Drosophila melanogaster: one gene and its partners. The protein of the gene in region 1 interacts with the protein of each later gene in a pairwise test. Each region holds a gene or a part of one and is shown on either strand. Other genes may lie near its edges.

Region 1 (6,362 bases):
AATGGCCCACCTCCTAAACAAACCCCATCGACATGTGTCCTAGACATGAGTGCAAATGTGTAGGAATTTTCCTCGAAGCTCATTAGAAACCAGGCACTCGATTGAGCTGACAATATTATTTTAGGCTAATTTCTATTACAATGCAAGGTAAAAATACTTACGGTTTTTGCGCCTCTTTGGGGCGGAAACATTCTGCTCGAACAATTGTCAAAACTATCTTGGCCAGCTGAAAGTTGGCTAGCTTGAGCTCTTAACACATTTAATTAAGAGGCGGAAAAATCCGAAATTTTAGCGCCCCACGGGCCACAGACAATGCATTAAAACTGAGCCGAAAGTGAAACTGTTGGCAATGCAACTTTATTTGCAGGAAACCATTTCGGTTTGGTTGCATCATTGCGAAGGCTTAACCCCCATCGTCAGCCTACTTTCCTAATGTTTATAAAGCTGCTCGGAATTTGGCCGAAAAGCTGTACAAAAAAATGAGAAAGTTTCGGCAGCCCTGTCAAATGGTTTTACTATTTGGCAAAAAAGTTTTAATATGCTTAAATTAGTGCATTTTTTTTTTAGCTGTACTCATTTCAGCTATCTCTGCTTCTAGCTTCGAACTCATTTCGAAGTCTGCACTGTGAGTTTGGGGGCTACGAAATACATTTTATCTAATATATTTAAAAATATTTGACCTAACTTTCCTGCTTAGCTGTCCATGAAAACTTAACTTAACTTAACTATGTGATTACCATATGATTGCAAGTGTACCTGTTGGCCAGACTGAGAGATTCATTTTAACAAAGCCAGTGAAACAAGTCAAGGGAGCTGTCATGTCAACCGCAAATTAAACGAAACTCGTCGCCGGAGAGGACCAACGATTGCGGGGGCTGAACCAAAGGATCGGGGGAGGTGGGAGCCATAAGTAATTAACCAAGTGATAAAGAACCTGGCCCAAGGGCGACACAAGTTGCTGTCAAAGACGACGACAACGCTCGTCATTAGCGGCCGAAAATGTTGCATTTAGTTGTGGGCCTGATGAATATGGTTAATTTCATTTGTATATAATATAAGTATATATACACATGGAGCTGCGGAGTCTGGGAAATATGTATTTATCCCTGGGCGACGATGACGATGACAGCGTCTGACCAAGACACATTTTTCGTTTGTCCTCTAATTGCATATCTGAGGATGGTGATTATTATGGAGCCGGCGATGATGAAGGCCAGCCATACAATTACCAAGTCTCCTGCTGTTCGGAGCCCTGTTTTGATGTTCTGGCCAGAAAGAGAACCCCTGGCCATTGGCCAGACGAAGCCGTGTTTCACTGTCTAATTAAAAGCACCGGCAACTGGCCTCTTAATTTATGCTCGTTCAGGGACAGGTTTCGAGAAAATCCCGCCCCACATTCCGTTTTCCATTCCGTATTTGCATGCCTTCTATCCGGATCTGAAATGTTGTGGCCGGAAAAGTTTATGGCATAAATCGCACACTTGGCTCGTAACTCGCAGCTGTTGGTAGGGAAAATTGCATGTTTTGTGTCTTTGAATGCGCACATCTGATATCACTGTATTTAAAAAAAAAAACACTCTGGGGAAGGAAATTCCTTATAATACATTACTCTGAGAACTAATCCCAAAACCAAGTAATCCATGCTTTACCTCTTAGAACTCCTTACCCATTCCCCAACTCCAAATCAAAGCTGCCGTAAACACTTTGAAGTGTGATTAAAATTTAAATCCAAATTGTGAGTTTTCATAGAAATTTCTACTTCACCATGGCGGATCCGAGTATCAATGACATCGATGAGACTGTGGCTCCTCCCCTCGGAGGCGCTGACAGCTTCGACCTGAACAAGCGGCTAGATTGCGAGCATTTAGGTGAGAAATAGCCCGAAGCCAACAAGGATTAACACCTAAATGATTACTCGATAAATTCCAAAACAGATCAGATGACGGATAATTGGACCGATTATCAAAGACCCTCGTTTGCCACCGAACTTCTGCGATTTTTCGGCAACGTATTTGGTGAGAAGATAAACGAACTTAGATACGGAATGCATCTAATATACTAATTTCTCCGCAGTCGATATATTTAATGCGATTTTCAACTGATCTAATCCGTATACTTGTAACTGTTGCAGAGCAGTCAATGGTTCCATAGCAAAACTAATAAAATCTTTAGTTAGAAAATTGTATTTATTTTCACTACTTGGTACGAGACTACTGGTTTTAATGACATTTAGCCGCAATAGATTTCGGTGAATACGGGAATGCGGCAATAGCAGGTGCAGTTCTCGAACTCATTTGCATATTGCGATATTTCAGCAACGAACCTTTCCAAATTTTGCGGGTTTTTGAATATGTTCTTGTCCACAGTCAAATCGTTGTCCACCAGAATTTTCCAGCGTCTCATACTGGCGATGACATCGCCGCAGAAGTCGCGTTTACTCTTCTCCGCCGATTTCTTGATGTTCTGCATAAGCCCCTTGTGCTTTCCTGTGAAATGAATTTATATATTTTCAAAAACTATATATTAGAAGATTTAGAAGCTAGCTTACTGTACGCCCTATTCTTTTCGACCAACGCCGCATGGGCTTCTCTCTGTGAAGCATCGTAAATCTCGATGATTCTGTACATGCGCCTTTCAATATTCTTGGACATTTTCAGGGCGGCCTCGCACTTTGGCTTGCATTGGCTCCAATAGCGGGCTCCTTCGAATGGGACTTTGCTGAACTTGTTACTCCTCTTGAAAGTTTCCGTATCCTTTCCTCGATCGGCCAGTTCTTTAGCCAATTGCGTCTTAACCCTTCCATTGTGGAAGCGAAAATGCAAGCTGGCCAGCAGCTTCTCTACTCGCGACATGCAGCTGTTGGTGGCGATATTTCAGTAAATTGATTTCCACTTATATGGGCATACTCACTTTGAGTTCTTGAGCGAATATACACCTGGAATTGCGAAGGTGCGGAGCAGGTGGTGCAGCTTGAAGGCCACGCAGTTGAGCAGATCCTCGGCGGCGCACACCTGCTTCCTGAGCAATTTGCTGTGATCGTGAATGGTGCGCCGGCTCTTCCATCCTCGGAATAGGGCCTGGATCTTGGTGGCCGCCCGATGGTGGTGATCCTGAACCCGCTTCTGCAGCAGGTTCTCCACATACCTGAAGTGGTTTTTTCGGACCGAGAATCCGCGCCACCAGCGCTGAATCGTGATGACCGCCTTTCTTAGATCCTTGAAATACTTTCGAAAATAGAATTTCCGCCAGTTGTTTTGGATAGTTCGGGCTGCCTTGTATTGCTTGTAGTCCAGAAGAAGCTTTCCGGTTCTGAAATTGGTTTTCAATTCTTTGCAAAAAGGTGTGTAAAAGTGTACAGTATGTAGTAGACTTACCGCGAAATTAGGTGCAATCTGCAATTAGAAGATTTACTGGATCCAATTTGGGACTCGGTGTTGCCACTTCTGTAAAAACAGGACGGATGAATAAAAGTTCACACATATTTATAGATATGATTACCGGCTGTCCCCACCTAGTGGAACCGTGGCCCTCCGAGTCTGCTGCATCATGGGTATAAGTCCTGAGAACATCCTGAAAAATAAACCGCTCTACTTCTTCCTAATTTAAGTGTATATGTTTAGTGTTAACTTTGTGTACAGTGTGTATTAACATATTTTAGTAGAACAAAGTGTTTGCTGTGACTGACATCTCGGTGGAAAATCGATGACTCGTAGATTTCCGTCTAGCTGCTGGCCATAATTTATGGCCTCCAGCGATTATATCCACATAAATCTTCGGGCTTTGCATCCTGGTCTCAATTTAGGCGACATATTTTATTTCGCCTTTGCATCAACATGTTTGCCGCTTATCGCGTCGGGAGAAAACAGATTTATGTGTCTATTCCACCACCTCGAGTTGGCATAAATATTCTGCAGACTGGCTTGAATTTTCCAAGGCGGTATTTAATTGAATTGTATCGATGCCTGTGGTCTTAAGCTCGCTTAAGGACCAATGGAAGGACCCATATTGGCAGTTGGCAGTCGACCATTTATGATGCCCTTGACTGCAACGGCCATGCTATCCAATTGTGTTCTAATGCTGACAAATGGCCGAGGTCAAGTTGCCATAAATTCGGGACACTGAAAGCCATTAGGTGGTCCTGGCCGGCACTTTAAACGAAAATCGATACAGAGCCACGACATTTTGCCAGCTCATTATGGGCCACAAATGAACCGCACTGGCACACACACATACACACTGCCATTCACATTCACAATCGCAAACAAACGGTCGGAAATGAAACGGAAATTCTCATTTATGGCGCCCTTGACGCCATTTCCAGTTTCCAGTTTGGTCGCTATCTATGCGGCCCTGACAAGTTGGCACTGCTCGCTGATTTCTGATGCAGATTGCGATTGCAGGCCCTGATTGCAGCAGCCATGAGATTTATGGTCCATATAGCCCGTGCTGACCCAGTAGCTGATAGCAAAACTGGACCAGAAAAGCATGCTAGTCAAAGTCCCAGTTACAGTCACAGTCACAGTCGCAGTTGGCAGAATGCCCCCCTGCTCAACACAAGCGTTCACCTTGGGGTTTCGATTGCGGTTTTTGGGGCTGCTGGACTGGCATTGCCGTAAATTAGTTTTTACACCTGACCGACTGGGAGCAGCACGTTCTTTGATCCCTCGAAGGGTTTGCCTCGACGAAGCAGATGTATTTTAATTGTGCTCCAATCACATGTCTAGACAACAGAACGAGAGCTATTTATTTGTGGAATGTGCACGCTTGTGTAAATACGAAAAGGTCCTGCCATCGCTTTATGACACACAAAAGAGGAAAAAGGTAGGGAGCCGAAATCTAATTTGAAAAGTACTAACCCGTAACGAGCCAAGAGCCATATATCAAAAGAAGCTGCTAACCCAAGGAATTTACGAGCCAACACCCCAAATATGTTAACCATAAAATTGTTCTGAGAGCGGAAGGAAAAGGTTCAAGAGCCACCTATATGTATATGTATGTAGTTCCACTTTAAGAAGGCTCCCTTATAAAATAGGTATTAAAAAGAGAAGAGTAGGCTAGGCGGTAAGGGTTCGTTATTAGATTTTGAACGATTGTCAGTAGCCCCTCAAACTCACACTCGACAATAAATTACAGAGGCAACATCTGGTCATCATTCGCTTGTGAACTGGAAATCAAGAAAAATATATATAATCTGAAAATCCTAAAAAAAATACATCTTTTATAAATCGAGAGCTGTATAATCCGTTGCCACCAGACATGGATCGCATCAAAATTGGCGAGCAGCTCCTCTTCCAGAGGAGTGACGGGCGTGTCCATCAGGTGGTCTGCACTGCCAAGAACCTGGAACGGGATTCCATCACGGGCGAATGGACCGAGGGCACGGTGGTGAAGGGTAAGGAAGTGCCATTGAGCACGCTGATTGGCATCAACCATCATATATTCGCGGAGAATCAACCGCCGATATCGAAGCCACCGAGCTCCTTGCTGCCGAAGCCTCGAGGCTCGAGTCCGACCGGAGGACCTAAGACCCACACTGGAAATCCGTATGCAGAGCGCATGAGAGTACAGGACGGTCGCAGTAAAATTGCCACCAGAAAGACGGATCCTGCAGCGGTCGGAGCGGGAAATCATGAGCTGGGTAGAGCGCACACCCCTCGTGTGCCAGCCGGTAGGCCGGACCGGGATGCCAGCCCCACCCAAGGTCGCAAGTCACAGGGTGGCAACAATAGCAACCAACGCTTTTCCAGTGTAGTGAGGGAGGTGAATCGCATGAAGGAGCAGAGGGAGAAGCGAAGGGCTCGCCAGGCGGAACAGCTCCAGGAGAAGGATGCACTGCGTCGCAATAATCCGGGGAATCCCAACTGGGAGGTGTCGGTGATGCTGCGCCAATACCGCTCCACCTTGATCTTTTCTCCACTTCGATGCCTGGATCCCAATGGAGGCACTGTTCAGCAAATTACGGTGTGTGTGCGAAAACGACCCATGAGTCGCAAGGAGGAGAACTCCAAGAACCTGGACATCATCACAGTTCCCAGTGCCGACAGCCTGATCGTCCATGAGTTGCGCCTCAAGGTGGATCTCACCAAGTTCCTGGAGCACCACAAATTCCGTTTCGACTACACGTTCGACGAGGAGTGCTCCAATGCGCTGGTCTACGATCACACTGCTCGTCCGTTGATCAGAACCATGTTCGAGGGCGGCAATGCCACTTGTTTCGCTTACGGACAAACTGGCAGCGGAAAAACGCACACCATGGGCGGAGAATTCTTCGGAAAGGTTCAGGATTGCGGTACCGGGATCTACGCCATGGCAGCTCGCGATGTCTTCGAGGAGGTATCGCGCCCGGAGTACCGGCAAATGGG
Region 2 (5,164 bases), on another chromosome or scaffold:
TCATCATCCATTGACAAATCACAGATGGCAAAAGTGATAGATTTCTCGAAATGTATAGGTAACCGGCATCTCTGGTAGGAGAATCACGTGTTGGCCATTTAAAAATTGCCGACTGAAAGTTGCGTCAACCCGAATAAATAATTATGCATGTGCGTGTCTAAAAATATATTTCTGGCTTAAAGCGGGCAATAACGAGTAAAATAGCAACCATAACAGGGAAAGGATTCAACAGGAGGGACAACAGTGTCCTTTGACCACCTTATGGCCAGTGGGAGGACGCTCCCCTAGGCAGCCACTATGTGGACGGGAATGGAGTTGCTGTAGCGTCCGAATGGCAGCCACGCAGCTGGGTAGAACAAAGGATAGCTCGGCGGCGGTGCAGAGCCCACAAGTGGTGGTGGCCCCAGTGGTGGTGGGGGAACAGCAGCTCCAGCTGCCTGGCGGGGCGGTGGTGGAGCAGCCCGATGGGCAGGCGGCACATCGATCTCCTCGGCAGCATCCTGGATCTGACCCGCGGCCGCCAGGTGGATCAGAAGGAGGAGCACCACCTGAAATGGCCACCGATGGCGAGGCCTCATCATCTTTGAGCAAGTGCATCGACTTCTCGGCGGATAACCGCTTGAGACTTACTAATTTCCTGTACATAGCTAATCCGAGCTGATAAGATCTGATAGCTCAACGTTCTGAAAACGAAATAAACATGACTGGAGCGACAGAACCCAGCTTTATAAATTTCTGAACCCAACCCGGCAGTTTTTGTGGGTCATTTCCAGACTTGCCGATGGATGGATCAATATCCAGCTACGTTTTAGTATGCAAAACACGGACTCACATTCGATTTGTTTTTCGCTTTTCGTCACGCTTTTAAAAATACCAAACGAAACCAAAAGTGCAAAGCCATAATGCTCAAGATTCTCCTTGGCTGGCTTCAAAATGGACTTGGAACCGATCTGGGAATGGATGTGCATACCAATGGCCACGCATCACCTTCGCTTCAATGTGGGGAATTGGAATGGAATTTTCTCGACCGATTCTGCTATATATACCCGAGTACTCGGGCACTAGGAGATATCAGTCTAGTACTTGAGAACCAACAGTTCACAACCAACCCAAACAGCCAACATGTTCAAATACGTAAGGATCGCAGGATAGCTGGACTTGCCACCAAACAACGGATTACTCATAAGCACTTTTCCTATCCTTTCAGTTCGCTCTGTGCCTGTTCGCCATCGTGGCCTGCGTCTCTGCCAAGCCGGCGGTGCTCGCTTCTCCTCTGGCCTACAGCGCCTACTCCGCTCCCTATGTGGCAGCTGCTCCTTACTCGGCTGCCTACACCGCGGCATACACCGCTCCAGTGGCCGCCGCCTACTCCGCCTACACGTACCCCTATGCGTCCGCCTACTCCGCCTACCCCTATGCCGCCTACTACCGTTAAGACTGGATGAATGGATCGTGATCTTAACCTGACTGCTGAACTGGACCTGAATATAAACATATACACATCTATTGCAACAAGGATACACACCTTCCTGCTAACCACCTGCAACATCCAATCTTCTTACATCCCTGGTGTTAGTTCGACAGACTCTACATTTCCCCACCTCTGCCGACTGCTGAAAGTTAAGTCATGGGAACAGGACATACCACTTCAAGAAAGGGAATATTTTTGTTGAAATAAATACTGCATTTTGCGTAAAACGTATACCACTTGTTCATAATTTATTGCATCACTTATTCATCTCTAATGTGAAGGGAGTATGTATAATCACATACTTTTAGGCAGTACTCTTTTGCAATGGGTACTAAGTACTAAATTTGGTATACATTAAAATCCAATGGAAATATTATTTATAAAGTAGGTGATATCATATTTTCAGTAAATATTTCTCACACTAGTTTCATAAATTGCTAGCCCCTACATTTTTTAATTTTGGTGGGCTGGAAGGAATCAATGACTTTTTTAAGCTTTGTATCAATAAATTGCTTTGATACATTGGAAATTATTTTTTGGACTTAAAACCTATTATTTGTTAAAAAAAAAGGAAGTGTAAAGGAGGTTGTGTTCTTCGTGGTGGAATGTCCATGTTTGCATTGGATTAATAGGGTCAACGAGACCTCCGGTTTATTGAACTCGCGATTCCATTTATGCAAAGCTTTCGATTCCCTGTTTCTGGTGTCCTCAACCTTAAGCCAAGGGCTCAACTCGATGACGTCCTTCGAAACTGGATAAACCGCTTCTATTTTTACTTGCATCTCTGATTAGAATGCAAAGTGGCGTGTTCGAGTGGCTGACAATTGAAACGTACAGAGTGAGCCGAACTCCGGAGATGGCCAAGACGGTTGGAATGACACGCACGTTCACAGCCCACAAAACGCACTGAGTGCTAAATTATGATAATTCAATCGGCAAACGACAGCTGCTGACGCCAGTTGCGGAAATGCTCAAGATGAGCGGGAAAAAACATTCATTTTCAATAATAAATTCACAAGGAATGCGTACTATTCGCAGGCATATCGACAAACACAAATCTGCAACATTATAATTGTGCCAGTAAAAAGAGACCAAATGTTTGGCCCTGTTTTAGCCCTGGTACGTGATGGAAATGCTTTAAACTTGCTGGGTTTTTGCTTTTTCAATGGGCTTTGTCAAGGATGCTATGTATATTTACCTATATAAACCACTTCGAACTCAGCACAAGACATCAATCAGAAGTCTAACTTCGACGCTAACACAACCAAATCAATTAAAATGATGAAATTCGTAAGTTTCCAACATTTTTTTAAGGATACAATGTTTCAAAAATGCAACAATTCACAATCCTAAATACAAACAAAAACGCGTGTGTTCGAAATAAAACTATTATCAAACAGTGTAGATTTTTCAAACAATTTTTTATATTTATAAAACTTCTTGTAAATGTGTATTTTAATGTACTTTTTGTATGCATTTTATCCTGCAGTTTGCCGTTGTCCTGTGCGCCCTGTTCGCCGCCGCTGCTGCCAATCCTGGTCTGCTGGCCTACAATGCCCCTCTGGCCTACTCCACTCCACTGGCGTACAGCTCCCTGCCCGCTGCCGCACCCCTCGCCTACACCGCCGCCTACACCCCTGCCTACGCCCCCTACGTGGCCCCCTATGCCAGTAGCTACAGTGCCCACAGTGTGGCCCACAGCGCCGCCCTGCCAGCCGTTTATGCCGCCGCCCCTGTGGCCACCATCCTCAAGAAGTAAGATGTCCCAGGATGGCAAAGGGATTCCGCAAGGCTGCCGCACGTGTCCACCGGACGTCGTCACTGCCACGGCGAAAGATACAGATACAAACAGAGATGGAGATACATGCTCGCAGGCAAACAGAAATTAAAACGCAATGCATCAGGCCCACGCACTGACCGACTGAGAAGTGAATCGAGTTTTATTCCTTCCGTTTAATTTTAATCTTGCCGTGGGCATCGGGACTTTTCTTCAAAGGAAACAGATAGTGCAGGTTGCTCTTGGGAAGCGCCGTCTTATTGCAATAGATACCTGGATGGGAAGTATATATATATAGCTTTAGTTTGTGGTATTACATAGAATTATAAGTTCAAGATAAGGGATTTCATTTGAATTATTAACGAGTGCTGCAAGCTTTAATTTTTAACATTTGCAATGGTCACCAGAGCACTTTAAACTATTATATGATGAGAAGAATGAATTCGTTTAAGGTTAAATCAGGCCACCATTTTCATTAGACAGCTCCCATATGACAGAGTGCCCTCCAAGGGTGTGCCCAACTCTGGCCTGTTTGTGCGCCCACTTTGGTTCATCGACACTTCGCCACGTTCCAGGACGCAATCCTTGAGCTTTGTTTACGCAGTTCGCACCCCCTTAGCCCTGATACCCCCCTGACCCTTCGAGGTCTATGTGGCCAGCTCGCGGCACATTGTTTATCACTTTGATTGCAAGTTGCGTGTGTGTTGGCTTAGAGGTCAATGCATTTCCATCGCCACTGCGAATATGGTACTACATTGAGGGGCGCCGCTTAAATTGCATTTTGCTAATCACCCGCCATCGATAAGTTGAACGAAGCCACGCCTCAAACGAACCCACCACGCCAACTCTGGCATTAATCATACGCCGCGTGCAACCGTCGAAAAGTATGAAAATCAAATCAAGCGAACGACATTTAACTAAGAAACAACATTTTGCAAATTAATTCAAGTCTTTGAGTTGCTGATTCTCAATTCTCCTCGATGCTTTCAACGCTTTTTATAGCCCTGTAAAAGCTGAAAAACGCCTCATTCTGCACGTGCAGTTGCACTTCTTGCAGCTAATTTACTTGTTTTGTGGCTGTAGTCGGAAAATTAAATTAAAATTTAACGCTGCCTTTTGTCTCGATGGTCACGCCCCATTAATCAGCTGCCCCCTCGCGAAACATGCGGCGATTTATAATTGCCGAAGCCCCAGAAGTTGCACTTAAACGTTCCGTTTCCCAGGCTTTACTGGAGTGGGTACTCTATGAAAGAGTTTGGGGGTGGGGTGTGTAAGCTTAAATTAACATAAGTTAAATATTGTCAAATAGTCTAATTTAATGCTTAAATGTTGTACTTTAGGTAAGTGTGTTTATAAAATTAGTTTCAAATGCTCTCTTGTCGTAGTATTCAGTTAAGGTAAGTCTATACCGTGTCTGAATTGAGGATATCAAAATATTTGTTTTCTAACTTTATAAGTAAGTATAAATATATATGGTTTTTGGATGCAACTCAGTTCTTAATGTATAGCTGTATCGTATCTCTATGTAATCTAGCTAATACTGGACGCTCTTTTCAAATTGAATATGATATCCAACCTACCTCCAATTAGCAGTACGCGTATTAACTTGGCCAACAAGGGGACTTCTAGGCCCATGTGCTATAATTACCCCCCGCTGTTCGGTGACTGCTTAGGCGATTACAACAATCTTGTCTAATTGACAGTTGTACACTGTCATTCGAGAGCATTGGAACGATAATGGGGGGGCTGCGTCGATTAGAACTTGCTGCGATCAATTTGCGGAGACATCAATAAGAAGCCAAACCCGATTTAAAGGCGCTCGCATTTCAGCCGTGCTGCCCAATAAATTGCGTTTTGATTTAATCGCCGTGTTGCACAAGTGCCACAAAATTAATTGCCAGCAATTTTTCGCACCG
Region 3 (5,573 bases), on another chromosome or scaffold:
GCAGTAAAAACAAAGCGTGTAGAAATAATGTGCTAAATGAACAAAAGCCCCACTTCCCTTTTTGTAGGGGGCGTAGAAATACTTGCAAAATACAAATAAAATTAACTAAAACTCAAACTCAAAGCAAACTCTGAGCTAAAGTCCAACACGGGGATCCATCCATTGTTGTTATTGCTGTTGTAGTTGTTGTTTTGGGCCAAAAGCTTACCGGGAAATTTTTGGAAAACGCTCAACTCTGAAATAATTAAAAACTAATTAAAGGGGCGGACGAGTGGTGGGCATGTGGCAAGCTGTTGTAAAACTTAATTAACTAAATGAGTGCAAGCGCAACAACAGCTAAAACAAAATAGCCATAGAAGTTGTTGTCCAAGCACACACACGAGGCGTATGAGTAATTTAATCATGTTTCATGCTGTCCTGGCCAAGTGAAGTCGGTCCAGAGCGCTGCGTTTGTTGACACCCACAAAATGCAATTTGCGCCACAAAAGCAAACAAAGAAAATCTTAGAAAATGGGGGAAAATACGAGGCGGCAAGCAAAAGTCAAACAAAGTTATATTCCAGATTGGATTTTAAGTTTTCGGATTAGTTGCAGCCTGGCAGATGCTTTTAGCATAATAAGAGCGAAAGAAACAAAACAGGGGAATGCGTATGTTTACCAAGTTGTAAAATTCTTTACTCCTTAAAATTGAATAAAACAAAAAATATCTGCATCCTCAGTTTATTTTCCATTTGAATTGTTTATTAAGCTCTTTAATATACTTAAAGATATAACTTTAATAATAAATCGGGATAAGGGACTTAAAAATGTTGTATGTAGTTTAAAGAGTAAATGACTATTGGGTTTGCTTGTAGTATAGATCGAGGACGTAGTCAATAAATTTACTTTTACTTTCGATTTAAAGACGCTTTTCCTGTGGCTTTTACTTGTTGTACTCCCAGTCGTCACCTTGTCACTTCACCTCGGGGCAACATTCTGCTATTGACTTGCATATTTGCGTTTCCACTCCAGTTTAATCCACCCACCTCCGCCATCCACCTCACCTGGTCTGAAAACCACTCCACGCACGTGCCATCAAAGTGAAATAGAAACAAACAGGAGAGGCAATGGGATGCCAAGGATCCCAGGGATCCCAAGGAGCCAGGTTTGTTCTACGCTTTTTCCTTTGCCGTCTGGCTTAAGTACATTGTTTGCCCAGGCGCTGACTCTGGGTATATATAGACCATACAATGCCCAAGGTGAAAAGCGGGCTGATATCCATAAACAAGGACCTCTAGAAGTCGGACTTCATGTTGGCCCCCGATGAAAAGCGACAGCTGCAACGCACAAGATTGAAACCGGAAACAAAAAGGCAATTCAATCCGGCATTCATTTCTCACAAATGCCTCCGTTCATTGTGGGCCACAACTGATTGCAACCGGTGGCTATAATTCATTCACATAGATGCACTTGCTACTGAGCTCCGTCCCGGATTCCCATACTGAAAACGCTTTGGCATAGACAAATCTGCGACTCGAATTGCAACCCGCGGTTATTGAATGGCATTACTTTGCAACTGGTCGACTGGGCTCCATATTTGCGATATCCAGCTGCTGGACGTCCGTCTGCCAATTGGATTCCAAAGGCATCCATTGTGTGGTCATTGGCCAGACCCAGCCTTTATATGCTTAATTGAAACGTCGCATGTCAGTATCAGATTGGTATTCCGTGCATCCATGCGTCAATCATCTATTACTTCTCCATTAATCATTGTATTGAGTTGGGTTTCAATATTACAACGTAGTAGAGACGTAAAATAAATGTAAGTTTTATTTGTACAACTGTTCCAAATATCTAATTTTCCAACTGATCTAGCTGAATACAAGAAATTCATCTGCATTCTCCATTCAAAATAATACGAATACTACTTACCCGAGCGAATATACGTAATACTATATGAAGTTGTGGTTCCAAAACTGGCATAAAGGGATTTGCACATGAAAACCCTTTGCATGTGTGTCCTGTCCCACTACAGAAATGCAAATTATCCAAATCCCCCAAAGGTCTGTTGCCATTTCGATTGCGGCTCGGCTGTTGCTATATCGTCCTGTTTATGCCTGATTAAAGTCAAACAACAAACATATTCTGAGCTGCATTTACCAGACAATCGTATAAACATATACACATGTGGTCATCAGAATAGAATTTATTAGTTGGGAGATCTACAAATCTGCCAATTATTTTAAGCAAATTGTTTTTACTCTCCTTTAACGCAAACAACTTTTATTTATTTAGTTAGTAGCCCTAATTAATATATTACCTGCTAAGTAATACTTGGAACTATTGTTTTCCATACAAATATATAATCCCGCATCTCTGGCCCGAAAAGTCCTCTCTAATCTATGCAGAGAAATGCTTGACAGTGCCTTGTTGTGTGGCTCAACTTTGGCCCCAATCCTAAATCCTTTGTGTCCTTCGTGGCCAGGATTTGCTTCTCATTACCAAGAAGCCCCCATTGTTCGCTCCACTGGGAGGAGCACGTGTGAGAAAGGTTGATGGCCAGGGACATGGGTTTGTGCAGTTTGGTTCTCGCCTTCTCCGCTCCCAAATTATGCAAATTGCTCGAAATTTTGCATTGGATAATTTCCCTATTTGCCCGTAATGCTCAATAAAAAAAAAAAAAATACAAACACAAAAAACATTTTATGACCCAAGAGACCAACGATGGCAGCAAATGGCTGAGCAGAAAAAATACTGAACAGTTGTATAAATGCACCAACAAAAATAAAAATAATATAAAAACAGAACAAACTGCGACGCATTTAATTAAAAATGTAATTACCCATGCTTTTCAACAGCCACATTGCTCGAAGCGGTAGCCAGAGGCTATGAAAACATTATTCGGAAAATTGTTGCAAATTTAATTGTTAAATCCTGCTATATTTTACTGCGGTGTTACTGCATCACGGAGCAGTTGTAGTTTTTTCCATTTCACAAATTTATCTTACTGAAAATGAGTTTAAGAACCATGTCAGAAAAGAGCGTGGGGCAACTAACAAAAAAAAAATTTTAAAAAACTAACTAGTAATCTTTTGTTGTCAATGCCTTGAATTTTCCACAATTTCAGTCTAAATGGAAAACTGTCAATGAAAAGACAATATTTAAACACAACTATTTTCGAAAAACTAAATTTTAAAATTCATCTTTTCGGGAAATCCAAATTTTAGCCCAAGGTATACTTACAATTTGCCATGGATGACTTTGATTTCAGTAGTCCACCTCCGGAGGTACGAACAGTTCATACCCACACGCTGAATGATGAACAGCTCAAGGATTGTGAGGCGGCCTTCGCCCTCTTCGACGACGATAATGCCAAGGTCATTCCGATCAAGTTATTGAGAGATTGCCTGCGAGCCGTGGCCCACAACCCGCCGGAAAACGAGATACAGGATTATATAACCGAAATTGATACGGATGGATCCGGCGAGCTTTATCTCAGTGATTTCCTATACATCATGTCGAAACGGTACGAGAATTTGACCGTCGAAGATGAAGTTATCCTCGCTTTCAAAGTCTTCGACAAAGATGGATCTGGCTTTATACACGAGAATGAGTTCCGTCAGATAATGACTGAATATGGCGATGAAATGGAAGAGGACGAGATCGAGGAAATGATACGTGATGCCGACGCCAACACGGAACTGAAAATCGACTACGTTCGCTTTGTGACCATGATGATGGAGACGTAACACTCTCTTTGAAAAATAAAAAACATAACCGATTGTAGATCTAATCAATAAATTTCAAAAGCATGGCCAATGGAATCGAAGATCTTGAAATATCGGATACCACCAGTTTGGACTATTCTTTAAAAAAAAAAAAAAGCCAATATACAATAGATAAAATGATAACAAGAGTAGGCTTTTCTTGTTATTAAATTATAAATATGAAGTTGTGAACTAAAGTTTGTCGAAAATTTGTAGTGAGTGTTCAGTGACCCCAAAATTTTCCCACCCCCAACCCCTTCCTTTGGCCATGGATTTCGAATTCCTTACTCCGCCGCCAGAGGAACGGACCATTCGCACCCACAATCTGACCGAAGAACAGGTCAAGGATTTGGAGATTGCCTTTTCCCTGTTTGACGACCAAGACACTAAGGTTATTCCTATAACAAATCTCAGGCAACTAATGCTGTCTGTGGCCCACTATCCCAGTGATATGGAATTGCAGGAAATTCAGGCCGAGATCGATGCTGATGGATCCGGTGAGTTATATCTCAGCGATTTCCTTCACATCATGTCTCAGAGGTACGCAAACATGTCTACCGAGGATGAAATTATAGCTGCATTCAGAGTCTTTGACAAAGAAGGAACCGGCTTAATATCTGAATCGGAATTTCGTCACATAATGCAGAACATGGGGGAGCAATTGACGGATGATGAGGTGGAGGAGATCATCCGTGATGCAAATTCTGATTTGGAAGGCAATATAGACTATGTGCGATTTGTCAGAATGATGTCCACTACATAAGGAAAAAGCAGGCTTTAGGGGTTGGGAACCCGACCTGTCAGTATCAGTATCATCAAAACAGTTTCGGCTCATTCCCTTTCGTAAATTCCAACAGTCTATAGCTCTGCAAGCATTTAAAAATATCTCGATAAATACCGAAAATCTTTGAAAATTTATCAAGATGTCCGAACTAACGGAGGAGCAGATTGCCGAGTTCAAGGATGCCTTTGTCCAGTTCGACAAGGAGGGAACCGGCAAGATCGCCACCCGTGAGCTGGGCACATTGATGCGCACCTTGGGCCAGAATCCAACGGAGGCCGAGTTGCAAGATTTGATAGCTGAGGCCGAGAACAACAACAATGGCCAACTGAACTTCACTGAGTTCTGCGGTATAATGGCCAAGCAAATGCGGGAAACTGACACTGAGGAGGAAATGCGTGAGGCATTCAAGATTTTTGATCGTGATGGCGATGGCTTTATATCACCAGCTGAGCTTCGCTTTGTGATGATCAATCTGGGCGAAAAGGTCACCGACGAGGAGATCGATGAGATGATTCGCGAGGCTGATTTTGATGGGGATGGCATGATCAACTACGAGGAATTCGTATGGATGATAAGCCAGAAGTAGTACAGCTACTTTAAATGAAATAAAAATATTTGGGGTCACTGCATAAAAAAAATCGTGTATTTCTCTTCAAAAAATACAATTTACACTTCTCTGCGGTCTAACTATTTTCGAACACTTTTTAATACGCCCCCAATTATTTCAATTATATTTTTGCGGTGTGCTAGTTTTTCCTTTGCCTAATTCGGAGACCGAGAATTTTTCAAGCATGTCCTGCTCTTAAAAATGTTTGATGAAGGCACCCCATTTCGGTAATTGTGGTTGGTTTAAGGAATTTTCGCCTCGCCTTCTTCAGGTGAAAACTTTCAGCATGAAACACTCGACGTGGTTTTAGTCCGCCTTTTCGTTTCCCTGGCAAGTGGTTTTTGCTTCCACATGCGGCACCTTTGTGGCCAGACGAACAATTTTCCTGTTGCTTAAATTCAATTTGCTTATGCATTAAAATTAAATTTTACTGTGGC

What was found. Proteins that work in one complex are often made in the same cells at the same time.
Region 2: the proteins of CG13544 (region 1) and CG13066 interact in a two-hybrid assay, tested with the Drosophila melanogaster proteins (one large-scale study listed by BioGRID).
Region 3: the proteins of CG13544 (region 1) and CG5024 interact in a two-hybrid assay, tested with the Drosophila melanogaster proteins (one large-scale study listed by BioGRID).

Annotation. Positions count from the first base shown.
Region 1 is NT_033778.4:23,136,910-23,143,271, forward strand, and holds CG13544 (uncharacterized protein), read right to left. Parts: upstream 3,669-6,362; 5' UTR 3,570-3,668; coding exon 3,499-3,569; intron 3,444-3,498; coding exon 3,375-3,443; intron 3,310-3,374; coding exon 2,911-3,309; intron 2,857-2,910; coding exon 2,549-2,856; intron 2,487-2,548; coding exon 2,230-2,486; 3' UTR 2,171-2,229; downstream 1-2,170. Other genes in the region: CG30192 (uncharacterized protein), read left to right, coding at 1,766-1,868, 1,935-2,015, 2,074-2,102; Klp59D (Kinesin-like protein at 59D), read left to right, coding at 5,257-6,362.
Region 2 is NT_037436.4:16,270,218-16,275,381, forward strand, and holds CG13066 (uncharacterized protein), read left to right. Parts: upstream 1-2,691; 5' UTR 2,692-2,749; coding exon 2,750-2,761; intron 2,762-2,960; coding exon 2,961-3,230; 3' UTR 3,231-3,391; downstream 3,392-5,164. Other genes in the region: CG34248 (uncharacterized protein), read right to left, coding at 285-581; CG13067 (uncharacterized protein), read left to right, coding at 1,123-1,134, 1,208-1,435.
Region 3 is NT_033777.3:25,807,976-25,813,548, forward strand, and holds CG5024 (uncharacterized protein), read left to right. Parts: upstream 1-3,120; 5' UTR 3,121-3,229; coding exon 3,230-3,727; 3' UTR 3,728-3,800; downstream 3,801-5,573. Other genes in the region: CG17770 (uncharacterized protein), read left to right, coding at 4,014-4,508; Acam (androcam), read left to right, coding at 4,669-5,115.